4 linked regions of the Cricetulus griseus genome follow. The protein of the gene in region 1 interacts with the protein of each later gene in a biochemical or structural test. Links are inferred from orthologs where the notes say so. Each region holds a gene or a part of one and is shown in the gene's direction. Other genes may lie near its edges.

What was found. The genes of interacting proteins can lie anywhere in the genome.
Region 2: the proteins of Sp1 (region 1) and Ccna2 form a complex in vitro, tested with the Homo sapiens proteins (2 studies listed by BioGRID). The link is inferred for Cricetulus griseus from reciprocal best matches to the Homo sapiens genes SP1 and CCNA2.
Region 3: the proteins of Sp1 (region 1) and Ddx5 form a complex in vitro, tested with the Homo sapiens proteins (2 studies listed by BioGRID). The link is inferred for Cricetulus griseus from reciprocal best matches to the Homo sapiens genes SP1 and DDX5.
Region 4: of the proteins of Sp1 (region 1) and Mapk1, one has a biochemical effect on the other in vitro, tested with the Homo sapiens proteins (2 studies listed by BioGRID). The link is inferred for Cricetulus griseus from reciprocal best matches to the Homo sapiens genes SP1 and MAPK1.

Annotation. Positions count from the first base shown.
Region 1 is NC_048595.1:398,783,558-398,788,183, forward strand, and holds the start of Sp1 (transcription factor Sp1), read left to right. Parts: upstream 1-1,576; 5' UTR 1,577-1,824; coding exon 1,825-1,831; intron 1,832-2,267; exon of another isoform or gene 2,268-2,404; intron 2,405-3,542; coding exon 3,543-3,700; intron 3,701-3,986; coding exon 3,987-4,626. UniProt on the Homo sapiens protein: Transcription factor that can activate or repress transcription in response to physiological and pathological stimuli.
Region 2 is NW_023276806.1:113,096,579-113,101,222, forward strand, and holds the start of Ccna2 (cyclin-A2), read left to right. Parts: upstream 1-1,344; 5' UTR 1,345-1,476; coding exon 1,477-1,662; intron 1,663-2,332; coding exon 2,333-2,576; intron 2,577-4,301; coding exon 4,302-4,414; intron 4,415-4,564; coding exon 4,565-4,644. UniProt on the Homo sapiens protein: Cyclin which controls both the G1/S and the G2/M transition phases of the cell cycle. Functions through the formation of specific serine/threonine protein kinase holoenzyme complexes with the cyclin-dependent protein kinases CDK1 or CDK2.
Region 3 is NC_048600.1:119,731,770-119,736,537, reverse strand, and holds the start of Ddx5 (probable ATP-dependent RNA helicase DDX5), read left to right. Parts: upstream 1-1,468; 5' UTR 1,469-1,483; intron 1,484-1,629; exon of another isoform or gene 1,630-1,645; intron 1,646-1,951; exon of another isoform or gene 1,952-1,994; 5' UTR 1,995-2,135; coding exon 2,136-2,179; intron 2,180-3,351; coding exon 3,352-3,517; intron 3,518-4,125; coding exon 4,126-4,222; intron 4,223-4,311; coding exon 4,312-4,445; intron 4,446-4,540; coding exon 4,541-4,606; intron 4,607-4,768. Other genes in the region: Cep95 (centrosomal protein of 95 kDa), read right to left, coding at 1,088-1,106. UniProt on the Homo sapiens protein: Involved in the alternative regulation of pre-mRNA splicing; its RNA helicase activity is necessary for increasing tau exon 10 inclusion and occurs in a RBM4-dependent manner. Binds to the tau pre-mRNA in the stem-loop region downstream of exon 10.
Region 4 is NC_048597.1:72,356,360-72,361,235, reverse strand, and holds the start of Mapk1 (mitogen-activated protein kinase 1), read left to right. Parts: upstream 1-1,576; 5' UTR 1,577-1,791; coding exon 1,792-1,904; intron 1,905-4,876. UniProt on the Homo sapiens protein: Serine/threonine kinase which acts as an essential component of the MAP kinase signal transduction pathway. MAPK1/ERK2 and MAPK3/ERK1 are the 2 MAPKs which play an important role in the MAPK/ERK cascade.

The DNA of each region.
Region 1 (4,626 bases):
GGCTGGTCTCGAAATCACAGTGATCTGCCTGCCTCTGTCTCCAGAGTGCTGGGATTAAAGGCGTGTTCCACCAACGCCTTGATAGTTAATTTTTTATCTTAATTTTCATTGTTGTTGTTTTGAGACAGGACCTTTCTGCATATAGAGCTCATTATTTAGACTAGGTAGGCCTCGAATTCAGAGTTCCTCCTGCTTTTGCCTTCCAAGTGCTAGAATTAAAGGTATGGGCCACCATGTCTGACAATATTTTTCTTATGAGCTTGACATAAGTAGTACTAAATGCTTATCTAACTGGGACATCCAGCACAGATAACTGAGCTGTCACTTATTTTTTCCTAGGCCACCTCAGAGGCAGCAGATACCTCAGTTTCTATCTTCAAAGTGCTTTAAGCTGTCTAAAGGAGAATTCAGCTAGTAGTATTCACTGTAAGTGCTAAAGGTTTTTGGAGGCAAAATGGAAGCCGAGGATTGAAGTGCCTGGGGCAAAATCGTGAACCTTTGTGATTGCAAAAGGAAGTAACTAGGTTACTGTGCTTTCTGCTGAAGCGGTGTTTACGAGTAACGAAGTGAAAAGGGAGTAGTTTAGGAGAGCTTTGATCCCGGAAGTTTTCTAGTCAGTCTCAAAGAGTTCTGGGCCCTCGACTTAGCGCGTTCGGGACAGCTTAAGAAAATGGCGTTTGCTAGAGTTTCCCGAAAGCCTTCCATATTGGTGAGCTCAGAACTGACTGAGCTCTCGAGGGCCGTCACCAAGCTCTCGTCCCGCCCGCCGCCGCAGGGCTTCCACCCACGGCCAGGGGGAGCCGCCCACCCACCCCTGCAGGGGTGGGATTCGAGAGGGTGTCGGGTGCGAGATGTGAAAACTGGAGCGATCCCGTGTGGCGAAACACGCGGCGCTCGCCCGCCTCGGCAGGGACACTTGTAGAGCTGCAGGGCTCAGCTGGAGTGTACAACCTAACGACGTAAGGAAGTCTCCCGAGCAGGGCCAACATGGCGACGAACTCCTTTTGGCACAGCCCCTGTTCCCTCCTCACGATGGGCGGCCCCACAAACGACCATTGGCCAAGCTAGAGGCGGTGCCAGGGCTTTTTCTTCCCCTCATTGGCCTGAGTATCTGAGGAGGAAGCCAGGTCTCCTCTCCCCATTCCAAGTTCCAGCCTTCGCCTTTTATTCGGCGTCTAATTGGCTGTGAGCTCATGTCAATATGCATCCTGTTCCGGATCGTCTCAGTTATTGACCAATCAGAACTTTCTTAACTGCCCGCCTGAATCCTGATTGGTTTAGATAGCTTGATCCTATCCCATTCCGGCCTATTTCTTACTCTCCTACTAAACGGACTTTGCCCCGGCATGCTCAAGATTCTAATTGGTCCTTGTCCTGTCACTCCTTCCTAAGCTCGTCCTATCACCACCGTTCACGGAGCCCGCCCGGCGAATCACTGGTTTCTCTCCAAGTCGATCTTCCTTATGTCCCGCCCACTCTCACTTCCTGAAGCTTTTATTGGCTGTTAGAGCTGAGAGGGCGGCCTTTTAAGGCGGACACCAGCACGCAAGTTGGTCTTACCCGCCTTTGCGAGGGAACGAGTCTTCCCATTGGGTCGTCTGCCCGCCTTTCTACTGCAAGGCTCTCCTTTCTCCCTCCTTCATTGGGCGGGGCAGCAGATAAGGGGCGGAGACTAGGCCGGGCTTGTGGCGCGCTGCTCCCTCCTCCTTACCCCCCCTCCCTGTCCGGTCCGGGTTCGCTTGCCTCGTCAGCGTCCGCGTTTTTCCTGGCCCCCCCCAACCCCCCCGGACAGGACCCCCTTGAGCTCGCCCCTCAGCTGCCACCATGAGCGGTAAGGATGAGTCCACTCCATGCCTAGGGGTGGGAGGGGAGTGAGGGGGCGCGCGCGAGGGCCGACCGGGCGGTCCCCGCTGTGAGGGGGGGCGGGCGGGAGGCGGCGGCGGCGGCCTTGGTCCCGCCCGGGGCGGAGGGAAGGGAGGGAGAAGGGGCAGTCGCGGGGCCTCGGAGGAGGAGGGGGATGGGCCACCCGCCCCGGGGGAGGGGGCAGCGTGGCCTCGCCCGCCCCCTGCCCGCCCCGGCCACGGGGGACGGGCCTTACCCCCCACTACTCGGCCTGCCGCCTGAGGCTCCTCCCGTCGGGGGCTGGCGCCGCGGGGGCGGCCCGACCAGTGCAGGCCCCGCCTGGGCCAACCGCCTCCCCGGTCCGCCCTCCGGTCACTGCCTGCCCCAGGCCCTCCCCCGCACCCCCGAACATTTCCCTTCCCCCATCTGACCCGCCCTTTCCACGCCCCTCACCCCGAAAACGCCCCTTCCTTCTAAGGCCCGCCCTCTCAGCCCCAAACCTGGGTTCTAAGCCCTAGACCACTTTAGCCCCTTACCTGTATCCTCAGAAGTGTCCCTATCGGTACTTATGATGTACTCTGTCTGTTCCTGTTTTTATTTATTTAGCTTTACACTTGGTCTTTCTCCATCTCTCTTAATCCTAATTTTAGCACATTTTTCCATCCAACCACATGTTGGGTCTCTTCTTCCTCCCAGAATGCTTTTTTTTTTTTACTTTTGAGACAGGGTCTGTGTGGTACTATGAAAACCAGGCTGGCCTTAAACTTTTAGCCATCCTCATGCCTCTTCCTCCTGAGTGCTGAGATTACAGAGTGTGCCATGCCAACACTAGGGGCAACTAGTATTCCTGAGATACTGCCCTCAAATTCCCTTTTTCAGAAATGCTATTTGTCTTGTTTAAGGCCAGGTCTCACTCTAGTCCAGATAGACTTAGAACTGATGAACAGGTGTGAGTCACCATGCCTGGCTTCCAAAGCACTTTTTTGGGGGGTGGGGGTGGGGATGGGGGTTTGAGACACGGTTTCTCTGTGGCTTTGAAGGCTGTCCTGGAATTCACTCTGCAGACTAGGCTGGCCTTGAAGTCACAGAGATCTGCCTGCCTCCGCCTCCTAAGTGCTGGGATTAAAGGTGTGTGCCTTCACTGCTGCCACCACCACCATCCAGCTCGAAAGCGCTTTCTTTTTGGTTTTTTAAGACAGGGTTTCCCTGTGGCTTTGGAGGCTGTCCTGGAACTAGCTCTTGTAGACCAGGCTGGTCTCAAACTCAGAGTGATCCACCTGCCTCTGCCTACGGAGTGCTGGGATTAAAGGCGTGCGCCACCACTGCCCAGCCCAAAGCGCTTTTTGAATGGTTTTTGACTTTAATTTTGTACATGGGGAAATAGTGGCCCATCTTGGACACCATTGAGGCACATGCCTGTTCTGCATGCCTGGCATGAGATGCTGGCATCTCAACTGATGTAACTGAAAATTTCTTTGAACTCTTATTTCTCTTGCCTCCATGTCCCTCTTGCCTCCACTTCCAAATTCTGAGATTTCAGGCCTATCACCATATCTATATCTGGCCCTATTTCCTTTTTTACTCTGCTTTTAAACATTCTATTAGTCATTAGGCTGGTTATCAGAGCCTTATTTTAAACCTTTGGGTGATTTTTTTTCTCCTTCTTCCACTTTAAGTTATTGTTTTGTAATTATTTTTAGATCAAGATCACTCCATGGATGAAGTGACAGCCGTGAAGATTGAAAAAGGTGTTGGTGGCAATAACGGGGGTAACGGTAATGGTGGTGGTGCATCTTTTTCTCAGACTCGGAGCAGCAGCACAGGCAGTAGCAGCAGCAGTGGTGTCGGAGGAGGGCAGGTGAGTGATCAGTCAAAGGTGGGGAAGGTGTTGAGGGTGTAAATATTCTTAGAAAGTTCCTTAATCAAAAAGCTGGGAGAAAAAAAATACAGTAGTGAAGTACACACAGAAAGATAGATGATCTAGAGGGTCCCCAAATAAGAAAGTTGGAACAGTACACAAAAGTCAGCATTTTATTTCTGGTTTTTGCTCTTTATATGCCTGCATTGTTGCTGTTTGTCTGTTGAATACTGCCCCCTAGGCAGGCTATTGGGTGCCACTAACTCCTTTCCTCTCTTCTGGCCAGGAATCCCAGCCATCTCCTTTGGCTCTGCTGGCAGCAACCTGCAGCAGAATTGAGTCACCCAATGAGAACAGCAACAACTCCCAGGGTCCGAGTCAGTCAGGGGGCACAGGTGAACTTGACCTCACAGCCACACAACTTTCACAGGGTGCCAATGGCTGGCAGATCATCTCTTCCTCCTCTGGGGCTACCCCTACCTCAAAGGAACAGAGTGGCAACAGTACCAATGGCAGCAATGGCAGCGAGTCTTCCAAGAATCGTACAGTCTCTGGTGGGCAGTATGTTGTGGCTGCTACCCCCAACTTACAAAACCAGCAAGTTCTGACAGGTCTACCTGGAGTAATGCCTAATATTCAGTATCAAGTAATCCCACAGTTCCAGACTGTTGATGGGCAGCAGCTGCAGTTTGCTGCCACTGGGGCTCAAGTGCAGCAGGATGGTTCTGGTCAAATACAGATCATACCGGGTGCAAACCAACAGATCATCACAAATAGAGGAAGTGGGGGCAACATAATTGCTGCTATGCCAAATCTACTCCAGCAGGCTGTCCCCCTCCAAGGCCTTGCAAATAATGTGCTCTCAGGACAGACTCAGTATGTGACCAACGTTCCAGTGGCCCTGAATGGGAACATCACCTTGCTGC
Region 2 (4,644 bases), on another chromosome or scaffold:
ACTCTCAGATATATGTCCTACATGTAACCAGTTGAGCTTTAAAGTATCTAAGTGAAGAGTGATGGCTTCTAAGATTTTCCTATACTAGTATCCATGAAATTCCTTTTTATTATATATTTGGGGGGGGTGAAGAAGACTTTAAGCAACAGAAGTTTTATTCATTTACAAGAGAATATTGTATTTAAAGTTTAAAAATATTATAAAGATAATGGAAAATCTCTGTTTCTTGTTTTCAAAGAAGTTATGAAATTTTCAGAAAGTGATAATTACATTGTTATATTTTACGTGCAATTCTTAAATATTAAATAAGGCACATATGTTGGGTCTTTAATAAGGTCATAGTATTTTTTTCTTATATTTTCTGGAAGCTTTCTTGGGACACCCAGGCCCCTGTTTTTCATATGAACACTTTTTTTCTTTTTTTGAGACAGCGTCTCACTATGTAGCTGGGATTCAAGGTACGTACCACCATGCACTCTATTTCTAAATGTAGTATCTATTTGGGTCCGTGGAACTTCGTGGTGTGCTATTTGTTGGATGTCACAACCAAGGATAAACAAAACTAATTCTTGGAATACACCATTTCGTTTAATGGTTATCAACAACAGCTTCAGTTGGTATTCTAAATTGATTAAATCCCTTATGAGAGGGGAGAATGGAGTTTACTGGAATGTTGGGCATAGTGACACAAGCCTTCAATCCCAGAACCGGTGAGGCAGTGAGTGACAGGCGGATGTCTGTGAGTTATAGGACCATCCGGACTGCATTTTTAAACCCTGTCTCAAACAACAACAAACAAAAAATATATACTGGAGATGTGATGCAAAAATAAACAGTAAAAGCACTAGAGGTTTCCTGAGTTCTATGGGCAGCACCACAGACAGACAGAGACAGAGAGAGAGAGATGGGGGGGGAGGGAGGGAGGAGTGTTCTGCTAGGGAGCCTCGGAAGTGAGCTGGTCGGTCAGCTGAGTTCTGTGCGCTCTTCCTAAGCTCCGCCCAGCGACGAGGGAAGTGGTTACTCCTTTTAGGAGTCCTGAACGCTGTCACTTTGAGGCCCGAGGGCTCGTCAGGCCCGCCAGGCTGCTCGGGCGGGATCCTGTGAGCCTCCGGGTTACAGACGCGCTACGCTGCGGGAAGTCGCCGGAGGCTGGCGCCCACCCCACCCTTCCTCGCGCAGGCGCGTCCTCCGGCGCCCGCCCAACTCGGTTCCCGTCGGGCCTTAGCTCGCGGCGCCCCGGCGCTCTGGTGACGTCACATGCCCCGGGCGCCCTCATTGGTCCATTTCAATAGTCGCGGGCTACTTGAACTGCACGAACAGCCGGCGGCCGGCGCGCTGCTCGCGGCACCTGGGCTTCGCTCCTCCCCCCGCCGCCCGCAGCGCCTGCTCCGCGCGTCGGCCGCCAGGGTCCCGCGCAGCCGGGAGCGGCGGGCGCAGTGCACGCTCTGCCGCCGACGGGTCCCGACCGGAGCCGCGATGCCGGGCAGCTCGAGACAGTCGGGTCGCGAGGCGGGCTCAGCCCTGGTCTCGCTGCAGCAGGAAGACCAGGAAAATGTCAACCCCGAGAAGGTGGCGCCAGCCCAGCAGCCGCGGGCGCGGGCGGCCCTCAAGGCCGGGAACGCGCGGGGAAACGCGCCACAGCAGAGACTCAAGACTCGGCGGGTAAAAGGGCGCGGGGGTCGGTGGGAGGGCCGGGCGGGAGCCGGCCTGGTTTAGCAGCCGAGAGGGCCTGAAAGCACGCTGCGCTTTCTAGTGGGAGTCGGGCTGCAGTCTGCGTGGTTCCGGAGTTTGTTTCTAGGACCAAATAGCCCCAGCAGCCCTGCCGAGTGTGCTGCCCTTCAACACTAGTGGAGACTAATTCCTAAAAATGCCCGGGGTCATACCGAGCGATGCTCCCCGCGTGTCGACTTCGCCCAGCTGTGTGCCTTTCCCTCCACTTTTAAAGACGGGCATTGCCTTGGGATCCCTTCCCCCTCACCATCTGCTTCCCAGATTACCTCTACTTCAGGGAAGGAAGGACAGAAAGCAATATTTTGTTTGGTAAATCCGCCATTTTAGCCAGACCTGTATGTTTGCTCCACCCTGGAGCTAAAGTTGCGAATCAATACTTTCCCCTAAACTTATTCCTTGATAAGTTTGTAGTTCCAATCAGTCCTATTTATAGCCTTTGTAGTAATGGCTGTGGCAAACCGGTTCACCTTTATCTTGGATTACTCAAGCTACTACTTATCTGGGCTTTACCTTAAGTTTATTTTTCCTAACGGAGTTATTTGGGAGTAAAAGCTGAGGGGCGCGGAGCAAGAAGGCAAATTTCTTTTTAAATCCTTTTTAGGTTGCACCTCTTAAAGACCTTTCTATAAACGATGAACATGTCGCCGTTGGTCCTTCATGGAAAGCAACCAGTAAACAGCCGGCCTTCACTATTCATGTGGATGAAGAAGAGGAGACTCAGAAAATGCCAGCTGAACATAAAGAAACACAGTGTGAAGATGCCCTGGCTTTTAATGCTGCTGTCTCTTTACCTGGAGCAAGAAAACCACTGGTACCTCTTGATTATCCAATGGATGGTAGCTTTGGTAAGGTTTTGCTTTTTATTTTTGAGACAGGGTCTCAATCTGTAATTATGGCTAGTCTTGAACTCAAATCATCCTGCCTCAGTCTCAAATTCTAGATTACAGGCCTATGACTCCATACCCTGCTTGGTAATTTTTAAAGATCTTTATGAAACTAAGAAAATAATTACATCATTGAGTTAGTGATACTTCTAGTTTTAAGACTATGTCATTTTGTTTTGTTTTTCTAGACAGGGTTTCTGTTCTGTTTTGGAACTAGACTTGTGGACCAGGCAGCCCCTCTCTCTGAGTGCCATGGTCACGCCCGGCTAAGACTGTCATCCCTGGTCATAACACAGTGGGTTAGGATTACTGCATTGGACTTAGAAGGGTATCTTAGATCTCATGGCTAATACCCAGACCTACTGACCTCAAAAAGAACTCATCCTTAACAGGCAGGAAGGGCACTGCAAGCTATCAATTTTAATTAGATCTCAAATGGTTATTTTAATCTGACTTCATAAATGTTTGGTTTGGAGAATAAATTTCAGTTGTATTTATGACTCACTTAACATGCCACTCCTGAGAGTGCTGCTTGAAGCTACAGTTTTAAGCATTATAGTATCTGCCACCCCTTTAAAATCAATTTGAATGTTCATCTGGTGCAGGTCAGGCACAAATGCACAAGGAAGACAGAGCAGCAGCTGCAGAAAGCTTTGCTGTTGTGATCTCACTGTGTGGAGACCACAGGTGTAGTAATTATCTATCAGGATGTTGGTATTTATCACTCTCCACCTTATGCTATGTGTGTCAGGGGGAGGGGTATGCTTTCGGGGCTGGTACGTGTGGAAACCAGAGGTGTACTTGACTTTGGGATATCTTTAACTACTTTTCCATCTCATTTCTTGATAAAAAGGTCTCATTGGAGGTCACTGGTTTGGCTAGACTGGTGGCCATCAAGCTCCAGGAAACTGGCTATTCTCAGCCCTCTTTCCTTCCCTGTCTCAGGGTTACAGATATGCCACATCTAGCTTCTGTGTGGTTCTGGGCAACCCACATCTTCATGCTTGTGTAGCAGGCACTGTACCAAGCCATTTCCCCAGCCCCCTTTAGTTTATTTAGTTCTACTGGTGGGGAAGAAGGGTATAGAAATAATTTATTTTTATATAAATCTTGTAGCTTTTTCTTAACTCAAGGTGCTCTGAAAAAAATGGAAATCCTTTACCTCAAAAAATAATTTAAATGGTAAAAATTACAACTGAGTGTAATTCATATACATCTAATAACTAGTGAGTGTAATTCATGCCTGTAACTAACATGCAGGACACTGAGGCAGGATTGCCAGCCTGGGCTACAGAACAAGACTCTGTTTTCACAAACACCACACCCCTAACAGATTACAGTTAGTCTGTTTGAATGCATGTGACAAACTTGCTATCTTTACTGACACTGACGTTTGTTAATACGGCATTTAGCTGATTCTCTTGTTACTCCCTGATTGTGATTTGAATGTCAGCCTCTGGGATCTATAATCTCTTTTAAGACAAAACAATAAGTATTCTGTCCTAACAGAACCACTGTACCATCTATTCATCATTTGTGGAAAATAATATTTAAGGTAATTTTAAGTCTTAGTAGCCTATTGATACTATTTTCTAATATATATATCATATATATATATCATATATATATGATCTGTGTTGCTTTGCCAGAATGGTCTTTTTAGTTTGGTTTTAATATCATACACAGAATCACCACATGCTATGGACATGTCTATTGTCTTAGAAGACGAAAAGCCAGTGAATGTTAATGAAGTACCCGACTATCATGAAGATATTCACACATACCTTAGGGAAATGGAGGTAAGGCTCTGTTCATTAAAAATGACTAAATAAAATTGAAAGGATAATGTTGACATCTAATAACTAGTGAGTTATTCTAATGCTAAACTTAAGCTTGTGAATAGTAAAGTAACTTAATTGTAGTTTTAACACCACTGAGTTTTTCTTCAGGTTAAATGTAAACCTAAAGTGGGTTATATGAAGAAGCAGCCAGACATCACTAACAGTATGCGGGCCATCCTTGTGGACTG
Region 3 (4,768 bases), on another chromosome or scaffold:
GAAAATAATTTTCAAAAGATGTTCTTAATTTCCTGGGATGACTTCCAGTGCTAGCTTCTACACAGTCAAAACTATTGTGTCAGTCCAACTTTCACTTTTGCAAGCTAAGATCCCATCTACCAGTATCTTTGTAGTACTTACATAAAGGTGTTTTTAGTTACACTTATAGATGAGCAGGGATGTTTTAAGATAGTTGTAAATGATAATCTGAAGTTGCCTGAATCTGACCTAGGTGGCTCCAAATTCCCAATAGTTTTATGCAATTATCTTGTGTAAGTTAAGATCTCTTGGTGCCCAAACAAGTGATTAATTGAGGCTATTAGAAACTGGAATAACGACCACACCAACACTAATGCAATTGTTTTCTTTTTATTGTATTTGCTGTATAAGGAGGTAAATATGAGGAAAACACAAACACAGAGCTAGCTCTGAACTAGCACATTAATACTGCTCAAGTTCTCCATTTTTTAAAAAACGGTTCTTGCCCTCCCCTATATAGTGCAAGACCAAGTTTAAGGGTTTCAGCAATAATCCGAAAGCTTGAAACACCTGTATCCTAAAATGATTGGTTATTAAAGGCAAGGCACTTTAGAACCAAGCCATGACAACCATTTTGTATGCTGTCCTGGGGAGGAGGCAAGGCGTCCTAGACAACCGAATCAATTGGCTTTTCAAAGGCAGTATTAGACAAAGCCGTTTACTCTAGAGGACATCAAAAGCTCTTATGAGTGCGATGCCTCAAAAAAAAAAAAAAATCAATACAGAAGAACATTCCGCCTTAGTCCCTACAAAGCAAAAGAGGAGACACAGCCTGTGTCTAATGTCCCAGAGAAGGGTCCTTTACTGCTCTGTAAAGACAGGATGCGGGTGTCCCAGCCTCGCCAGCGAACCGAACCCCTCGGCCACATCCCAATTGTCCGTTCCACGACTAGACCCTAAATTCAGAGGCGCCCGCCCACTCCCCCGCGATGGCCACTACTGTGCGACAGTCACGAGCCTCTCCAGAAGCCCAGACACGGTTCGGGTCGGCCCGCGGCCAGCTGGATGCCGCAGGGCGCAAACACTAGGGCTCCAGGCCGAGACTCACCAGCCTCTGAGCTGGCCATACTGCCAAGAAAGGTCGCGGCCGGACTCCGAGACGAGAGCGAGCGAGCGAGGGAGCGAGCGCTGGCGACGGTGTCCTGCAAGGGCCGGGCCGGGCCGGGCGGGGCGGGGGGGCCGAGCCGGGGAGGAGGGGGTAGGAACCAGAGAGCCGGGAAGGAGGGCTGGAAGAGGGCGGGACGTTAAAACGGCTTCTCGCCGCTGATTGGTCATCGGAGAAGCACTTCCTTTCGCGGCACGCGCTTCGGCGGCGGTTTGCGGGCTCTAGATACCATTCCCCGCGGGCCCGATCCCGCTTGAGGGCTCTCAGCTCGGCCGGCCAGGCAGCCGGGTCACCCAGCAGCCCGGCCGCTCTCCCCGGGGCCTCGGAGCCGCGCTTCCGGTGAGTCTGCGGGAAGGTATTCCTCCGCCGAGGCCAAGCGGAGAAGTAGTGCGGCCCGCCTAGCCCTGAGGTGCAACCACGTGACAACGGCAGGCTCCACCTCCCCGGCTTCTTCGGTCATGGGCGTGGGGGAGCCTGTGGAGACGTAAACATCTTCTTCAGGTGGAGACGACGGGCTGGCTGGCTGGTGCGGGCCATTGTAATGGCCGGCTGGCCGCGGGGAAGCCACACGAGTGCGGGGCGAGGCGCCCTAGCGGTGTCACCCCGCCGGGAAGGGGGTCATAAACGGGCGCCTGTGAGGGAGCGCCCGCGGGGGGAGGGGCGCGGACATGGCGGATTCCCGAACGCCAGCGGGCGTTGAGGCCTCCCGCCGGGGGGAGGGGGGTGGGGCGATGAGGTCATAGAGCGGCTCCCAGCATCCTCTGCGGCGAGGAGGCGGTCCAGACTATAAAAGCGGCCGCCGGGACGCAGCCGGCACCTCATTCATTTCCCTCGGCCCTCGGGTTTACAGCTCCGGCTTCGTCACCGCCCGTCCCTCCGCCGGTGACGCCCCCGCAAAGGCTTCGCCGTCGCCGAGGCCTCCTCTCAGCGACTCGTCGCGACTGGGTTGTCCTTCACTGGGTCTTTCCCGCTCACCGCAACCATTGACGCCATGTCGAGTTACTCCAGCGACCGAGACCGCGGCCGGGATCGAGGGTGAGTGTGACAAGGGACCTGTCAGGCTAGCGGGTGGGGGATGGGCAGCCGGCCGAGCGAGCGAGCGGGCGGGCGGGCGGCGCTCGGGTTTCCAACCGACCGACCCTGGGGTTTTCAGGAAGGAGGCCTTGAGGGTTTTTATTTTTGTTGTTGTTATCCCAGCTGATTAAAAGACGTTAGGGGCGGCGCTCCCAGGAGTTGGGCTCCGCCTGGCTTTTTTTTTGGTTTGGGAGGCTCGGGTCCCGTGGCGACCCCGCGGCTGTCGCGGGGATCTCCGAGGAGGGTTGTAGTGTAGGACGAGGAAGCGCCGCGCCTTTGAGGCGGCTCCGAGGCGTTGTTCGGTGCAACCTTCCGGCGGGTGTTTTGGGGGCCCCCGGTGTTACCGGGGAGCGGAGGGGTCGCTTTCGAGGCCATCCGTGCCGTGGAGGGTGGCCGACGTCGGCGGGTTGAGCCATGTGGCCGAGCGGCGGCCACAAAATGCCGGCCTCGGACATGGCGGCGGCGCCTTTGTTACCCCGCCCGGCAGAGGCGCTCAAAATGGCAGCGTCGAGAAAATGTGGCGCAGAGAGAAATGCGAGACAAAGAAGGAAGCGCCGCCCCAGCGGGAACGCAGCCCGGCCCGGGACTCCTCCCCCGGTTGTCGCCGGCTCCTCCTCTTTTTTTTTTTTTTTCCTTCCCCTCGCGTTATGTAATTTTGCTACCTTGATTAGCTGCGGTTCGCGGCGAGTTCGCCCCTTGCTGCCCTACCCGCAACACCTTCCTCGTTCACCTGCCCACATCGCCTGCTCGGCGCCGTTTTCTTTAAGAATCAGTTCCTTTGGTCGGAAACAGTGGCAAAAATAACCTTGTTAAGCTCCTCCCTTCTTGCCCAGCTCCTAATTCCTAAGCCCTGTGGGGAGGGTATATGGAGCCTCAGGCTGTTATCTGTCCTTGTAATCTGAACTTCAGATGTTTGGGCAGCCGACCTGGTAAATCCAAGCTGCTTGTTTGGCATCAATAGTGTGTGCTTGGGACTATAGTAAAAATATATTGTGCCAGTTGTTGCTGTCTAGAATTGACAATTGGGAGGGATTCCAGAAATGCACTTTGGCTTTATATCAAAAGACATTAAATAAAATGTGAGTGCAAACATAACAGAACTTTTTTACAATGTGGCTTCCCCCCCCCTGTAGATTTGGTGCACCAAGATTCGGAGGGAGCAGAACAGGACCCCTCTCTGGAAAGAAGTTTGGAAATCCTGGGGAGAAACTAGTTAAAAAGAAGTGGAATCTGGATGAGCTGCCCAAATTTGAGAAGAATTTTTATCAGGAACACCCTGATTTGGCAAGACGCACCGCAGTGAGTGATTTAATGTGGCTTTTACTGGCTAACAGCTTCTACTCAATTGGATTGAAGCTGACAGGTGCCTTGCAAATGTCTCGAATTCAAATTATTATTTGTGGTGTGGTTTCCAAATGTGTCCATTGAATCTAGTGTAAAAATTATTTGAGCCAGGCGCTGGTGGAGCACGCCTTTAATCCCAGTAATCGGGAGATAGAGGCAGGCTCAAACAATACAGAGAAGCCCTGTCTCGAAGCACCAGAGGGTAAAAAAAAAAAAAATGTGTATTGGCCAGGTGTTATGGCACTAGTCTTTAATTCCCATCACTGGGGAGACAGGCAAGCCAATCAGCCTATTTGGGCTACATAGTGAGACTTTTTGGTTTTCGAGACAGGGTTTCTCTGTGTAGCTTTAGAGCCTATCTTGGCACTCGATCTAGAGACCAGACTGGCCTCAAACTCAGAGATCTGCCTGCCTCTGTCTCCCGAGTGCTAGGATTAAAGGTGTGCACCACTAAGGCCCTGCCCTAGGTGAGTGTTTTAAGTACATAAAAATTGCTGCTGAGCTGTAGGGGACTTGTCAGTGCAGTTGGCTGAGGTTTGAGACTGGGGTCATTTGTTTTTCAGCAAGAGGTAGATACATACAGAAGAAGCAAGGAAATTACAGTTCGGGGTCACAACTGTCCAAAGCCTGTTCTGAATTTTTATGAAGCAAACTTCCCTGGTAAGGACTAATTTTCATCTCAATTCTTTTCATTTGTTCCCTCTTCTTGCGTAGGGTTTTTGCTAAAAATGGTATTATTGGTTTTACAGCAAATGTCATGGATGTGATTGCAAGGCAGAATTTCACTGAACCCACTGCTATTCAAGCTCAGGGCTGGCCAGTTGCTCTAAGTGGATTGGATATGGTTGGAGTAGCTCAGACTGGATCTGGGAAAACATTATCTGTAAGTTTAGGGAAACTTGATACATTCTGGGAGTGGTGACCTGATAATCTTTCATTTTTAATAAAATTTCTGTTTTCACGCTTCCCCTCCAACAGTATTTGCTGCCTGCCATTGTCCACATAAATCATCAGCCATTCCTAGAGAGGGGTGATGGGCCTATTGTAAGTATTTCTTAACTTTTTTGGTCCTTAACACTAAAAATTTTTAGACTACATAATCCCACTCAGTTTGCCAGAACTGGTTTGACTTTAGTTCCTTTTTCAAGTTACTAATGTCCAAGAACAATAAGCAAGGACGGATTTCAATCCCTACAACCTACACGT
Region 4 (4,876 bases), on another chromosome or scaffold:
TGGCCTTGAATTCTCAGAGATCTGCCTGCCTCTGCCTCCCAAGTCATGAGATTAAAGGTATGTGCCGCCACCACTGCCCGGCTTGAAGGACTAATTTTAAATTCTAGTGCTTTGTTTCTTTTTCCCCTGCAGGATTTTGTTCCTTTAGTGTTGCAAAAAGAATCAAAGACCTGCTACAGGCTAAGCATGCACTCTACTGAGGGACACCTCCAGTTCCTCTCTTTATTTTTAAACATTTACCTTTTTTTTATCTTTAAGATTGCCTTTAAGATCTTTATTGATGTCTAAGATCTCATTTGCTGGCCACAGAGGAGTCTGCGTCCAGGGACGACAGGGTAGTAATGCCTGAGAGACAAACTGTGTCATTCACTATCTTACCATTGCTCTCCTTGGCACCCACCTACTTTAAGATTACAATTTTCTTCGGGTTCATTCGTGTTTCTGACTGGTTCTGACCCACAACTTGTTCAGATGTTTCAGCCATTCTAACTGTGCTATATTTCAGTACGCCCATCTGGGTTTCTGCTCATCTGTACCAAGCTGGTGTTGTGTGACAAAACACTTCTTGAGAAGACACAATACACACCTAGTCACTACAGATGAGTATGGATACCAGCAAAGTTGAAGAGTGTCCTCCAGCTATTTAAGTTGGTCTAGACCTCTTCCAGGCAGGAGGCAGGAGGCTGATTTCTGCTTCTTCTAAGCAGTTTGGCTGAGTCTTCTTTGCAGCTCCGTGGAGTTCATCGAACAGGGATTCTCAACTTTTATTGCTTACTCCAGCAAGGAGTAACCCGGTGAATCTGGTCAGTTTCAAGGACTCCCAAAGTTCCTTTGTGCCGTTTACTTTCCTGTTTAAGGAGTTTCTCTGCAGGATAGAATGTTTCAATCTCGCAGGAAACGGTTACACAACACCTGGGTCCAGTCCCTGGATTTCAGTCTTTCTCCAGCGTCCTCACCCACAACTCTGTAAACCTTCCCTCCAGTTTTTAATTGTTCACAGCACTTAGTTAAGTGAGCATCGTATTTGTCTGTCTCTTCACCCTAGAAGGGAGAAGTATTCAGCAAATCTTCTTGAACAAACCTCTAATTAGGGGATTCAATGCCTTGTGTTTTGGTTTCCACTTATGTCTCACACTTTTTAGGTGTGAAAATATCTTTCTGAGTCTGGGTCATGCTTTTTGGTTTCTGTCCCAGTTTGGCAGTCTAAGTTCATTAGTGTGAGGGCCACGGATTCCCAGAGGCCTGTCTCAGGGGTCCATTGCTTGGTGTATGCTGAGTCCTCCGGTCTCACGCCAAGTGCCTGGTTCCACATGAGTTCGTCCTGGGCACCGCACAGCGGTCGGACACACTGTGGGGTCGTTACGCCCAGGTTTCCACCAGGCTTTCAAGAGCCACCAAACAAACTGAACGCCCGGTTCTCCAAACGCACGTGACGGCCCTCCCCCGCAGCCGCAGTGCTCCTGCCTCAGTTCGCTGCTTCCGCCGGCCCTCGAGACCCCGCCCAGCGCCGCGAGGAGCCAATCAGCGCTCACGCCCTTGACTCCGCCCCAGCGCCCCTCGACGCCAGCCCCTCCCTCCTCCCGCTCGCTGCCCGCCCGTCAGGCAGGAAGGCAGGCAGTGGTTCACTGGCGGTCAGTTCTTTGCTCTGTGTTGTCTTCGTTCCGCGTTCCCGGTCGCGGGCGGCGGCGGCTACACGGGTGGCAGCGCGGTCCCTGCGGGAGGCGCTGCACAAGCCGAGCGGCGGCCGCGAAGCGTCGAGCCCAGCGCGGCGGCGGCGACTAGGCAGCCAACATGGCGGCGGCGGCGGCGGCGGGCCCGGAGATGGTCCGCGGGCAGGTGTTCGACGTGGGGCCGCGCTACACCAACCTCTCGTACATCGGAGAGGGCGCCTACGGCATGGTTTGGTGAGTGTCTACTCCGGTTTGCAAGCTCGGCCTCACCCGGTCACCCCTGCCTGTGCCCCTGGCTGTTCTGGACGCAGCCGCGGCCCTTCCCGCGCCTTGGCCTCGCGTTCTGCAGCGACCTGGACCCCTGACTCCTCTTTGGTCCACAATCACGGAGCCCGTCGAGGCTTAGTTGTTGCTGGGGTGCTTCCTGGGCTGCCCCTCGTTTGCCGTTGGAGGGGCACCCCACACTGAGGTCAGGACCCGAGGACTTGGTCTCAAGCTCGTACTTTGGAGTCTTCTCCCTTGGGACGGGAACGGAAGTGCACCGTGTCCCCTAATTTATGGCATTATAGCCGCCTTCTTTGACATTAGATCGTAAAACCAGGAATTCCATCACAGGCTTGTCGGTGGTGGTGGAGGCGGCCGTGGTTTTGCAAGCGAGAATCCTCGGCTTGTGTGCTGAACACCAAAATATTTTTCTTCCCTTCCTTGTGTATACGTGAACAGCTTTCACAAAATATCTTCAGTGGAGCTAATGATGCGTTCCAACTTAGGCTTTCTAAAAAGCATTAATGACACCAGCGTTGGTTGTGAGGATATTTAAATCTTGAAGTTTCAAAATGGATGTAAATATCGTTGCGTTGCAGGAAGGATAAGCTAGCATCACTCTTAAAGAGTTATTAAGATGTATTTGGAATTGGGCCTAATTTGACTTTAACTCCTTCGTTACCATCGAGTATTTTCAGACCTAATTTTGCATGGTCACTTGTAGGATTTCTCACCTGATTGTGGAATGATGAAGTGTGTTGTTTTTACTGGAACAAGTATTTGTGTTTTGTACTGAAAACTTGTGGGAGTAGGTTTTCTTACCCCTAAATTTGTGTCTTTTGTGCTAAATGAAGAAAACTAATTTATTGAAGGTCTCTGAGATACTCTGCTATCCGAATAGTTTAATTTTGTCTGGATAGCCATCTTGAGGAAAAAGATACCCTCTTTCAGATAAGGTATAGAAAGGAAGTCCTTTCCCAAGGGCGAAGGACTAGAACCAGGCTCTGATTATAGACAGATCCTGTTTCAAATGCTGCAGCTCTTCAGTCATTACACATGCCTTTCTTTAATGTTAGTAATAATCTTGGAACTTTAGCATATTTTCCTGATGAGCAAGTCTATTTCAGAAATGCATTCAAATTTGAATGGTCATAATTTTAGAAATGGTAGGAAAGACGTGTTTTCCACCAACTGTCTTAACTAGATAGAATAATTAACGTTCTTTTTAAAAAGACTCACAGTGTACAACTATGAAGATAAAGGTGAACTGGTCTTGGGAGTCAAAACAAATTAAATTAGGTCACAATTAAAGACTTATAAAGGAGTACTTAAAAAAGTACTTCCCCTTCACATCTGTCTTGCACATATTGCTGCTCTTGTACCTGCATGCCAGTAACTCTCTTATTATACTGAAGATTGCCAGTTATAGTTTCATTTATTTTAAAAACTAGCTTATTTTAAATAGGCACAAAAATTGAGGATATGTCATTTGGACTCCCCACAACCACCTCTGTTTGATAAGATGGATTATTTAGATTCTGGTGCTATTGCTGCTGTGGAGTTACTTAACCTTTGAAGTTTACAGCTGCTGTGCAAAGTTCTCTTTAAAATTCAAATTTTAGGGGCTGGGGAGATGACTCAGCAGTGAAGAGCAGTTGCAGCTCTGGGTTCTAGTCCCAGTACCCACCTGCAAGCTCACAACTGTCAGTAACTCCAGTTCTAGAGGATCAGATGTTCCTTAGACACAAATTTGAGGGAAATACCCATATTTGTGAAATAAATTAAATTTAAAAATACAAATTTTAATTTTAAGAAAAGTGTAGACCAGGTGGTGGTGGCGGCATACACCTCTAATCCCAGGAGGCGAGGCAGAGGCATGTGTTCTGTGAGTTCAGGCCAGCCTGGTCTACAAAGGGAGTGCCAGGACAGGCTCCAAAGCTACACAGAGAAACTCTGTCTCAAAAAAAAAAAACAAACAAATAAAAAATGCAGGTACAATTGGAATTTGAATCCTGGATCCATCCTTTTATCTCCAGGTTGATAACATCTTAGTATTTGTAGAATATTTTTAATTATAGGTCATTAGCATTTGATCATTAGCTGGGTTTATGGAGAACATCTTGACCTTAAATGCCTGCTTGAATAGTTGTGATCTTTTAAAAAGCTAGGCTTAACAATCAAGACCATCTTCAGATCCCAGCATCTACATTAGGTGACCCTCTGACTTCCAAGGGCATCTGCACATATGTGGTTCAAAGAAAACTCATATGTACATAAACATACTAAAAAAATAATTTTAAAAACCATGAAAAAATGTTTAAGGGATTTTCAGCTATCCTTTAGCAGGGTTTTCCCTAAAGTAGTTCATTGGAAATTGTGCCTATTTTGGTTAGATTCCCCTTCCTTATGTAGAAGACAAAAAGATAAGATTGGGTGGTGGGTGCTCAGCTTAGTTCCTACTGGAATTCAGTTCCTAACAGCCAGTAACTCCAGCTCCAGGTAATCTGATGCCTCTGACCTCTTGTGGGAACCTGTGTGTATGCACATATATGCATATATATGAACACACATAATAAAAATGTTTTTTTTTTTTTAAAGAAAAGGCTGGGTTTTGAGATGGATGTTTAAAAGTAGGTATAATTTTGATAGATAGTAGGGACAAGTAATAGTCTGAGCTGTTGAGTCTAATCTTAGAAAACTGGGTGAAAACTGTAGAGGACTCGTAACGGCAAAAGTAAGTGATTGTATTTGTTCTGTGAAAAAGAAAGCTGTGATGTTTTTGAGAGTCAGTCATGATCAAGTTTTAATTTTTGTGATGGTACAGAAATCAGGCCGTTGTAGCCATCTTAAGATGCAGTAATTCATTGTCAGGTCAGTAGAGATGAGAAATTTTAAGCAGACCGAATCGGTCAGAGGAGCTCTTGCAGAAGTGATAAGAGATT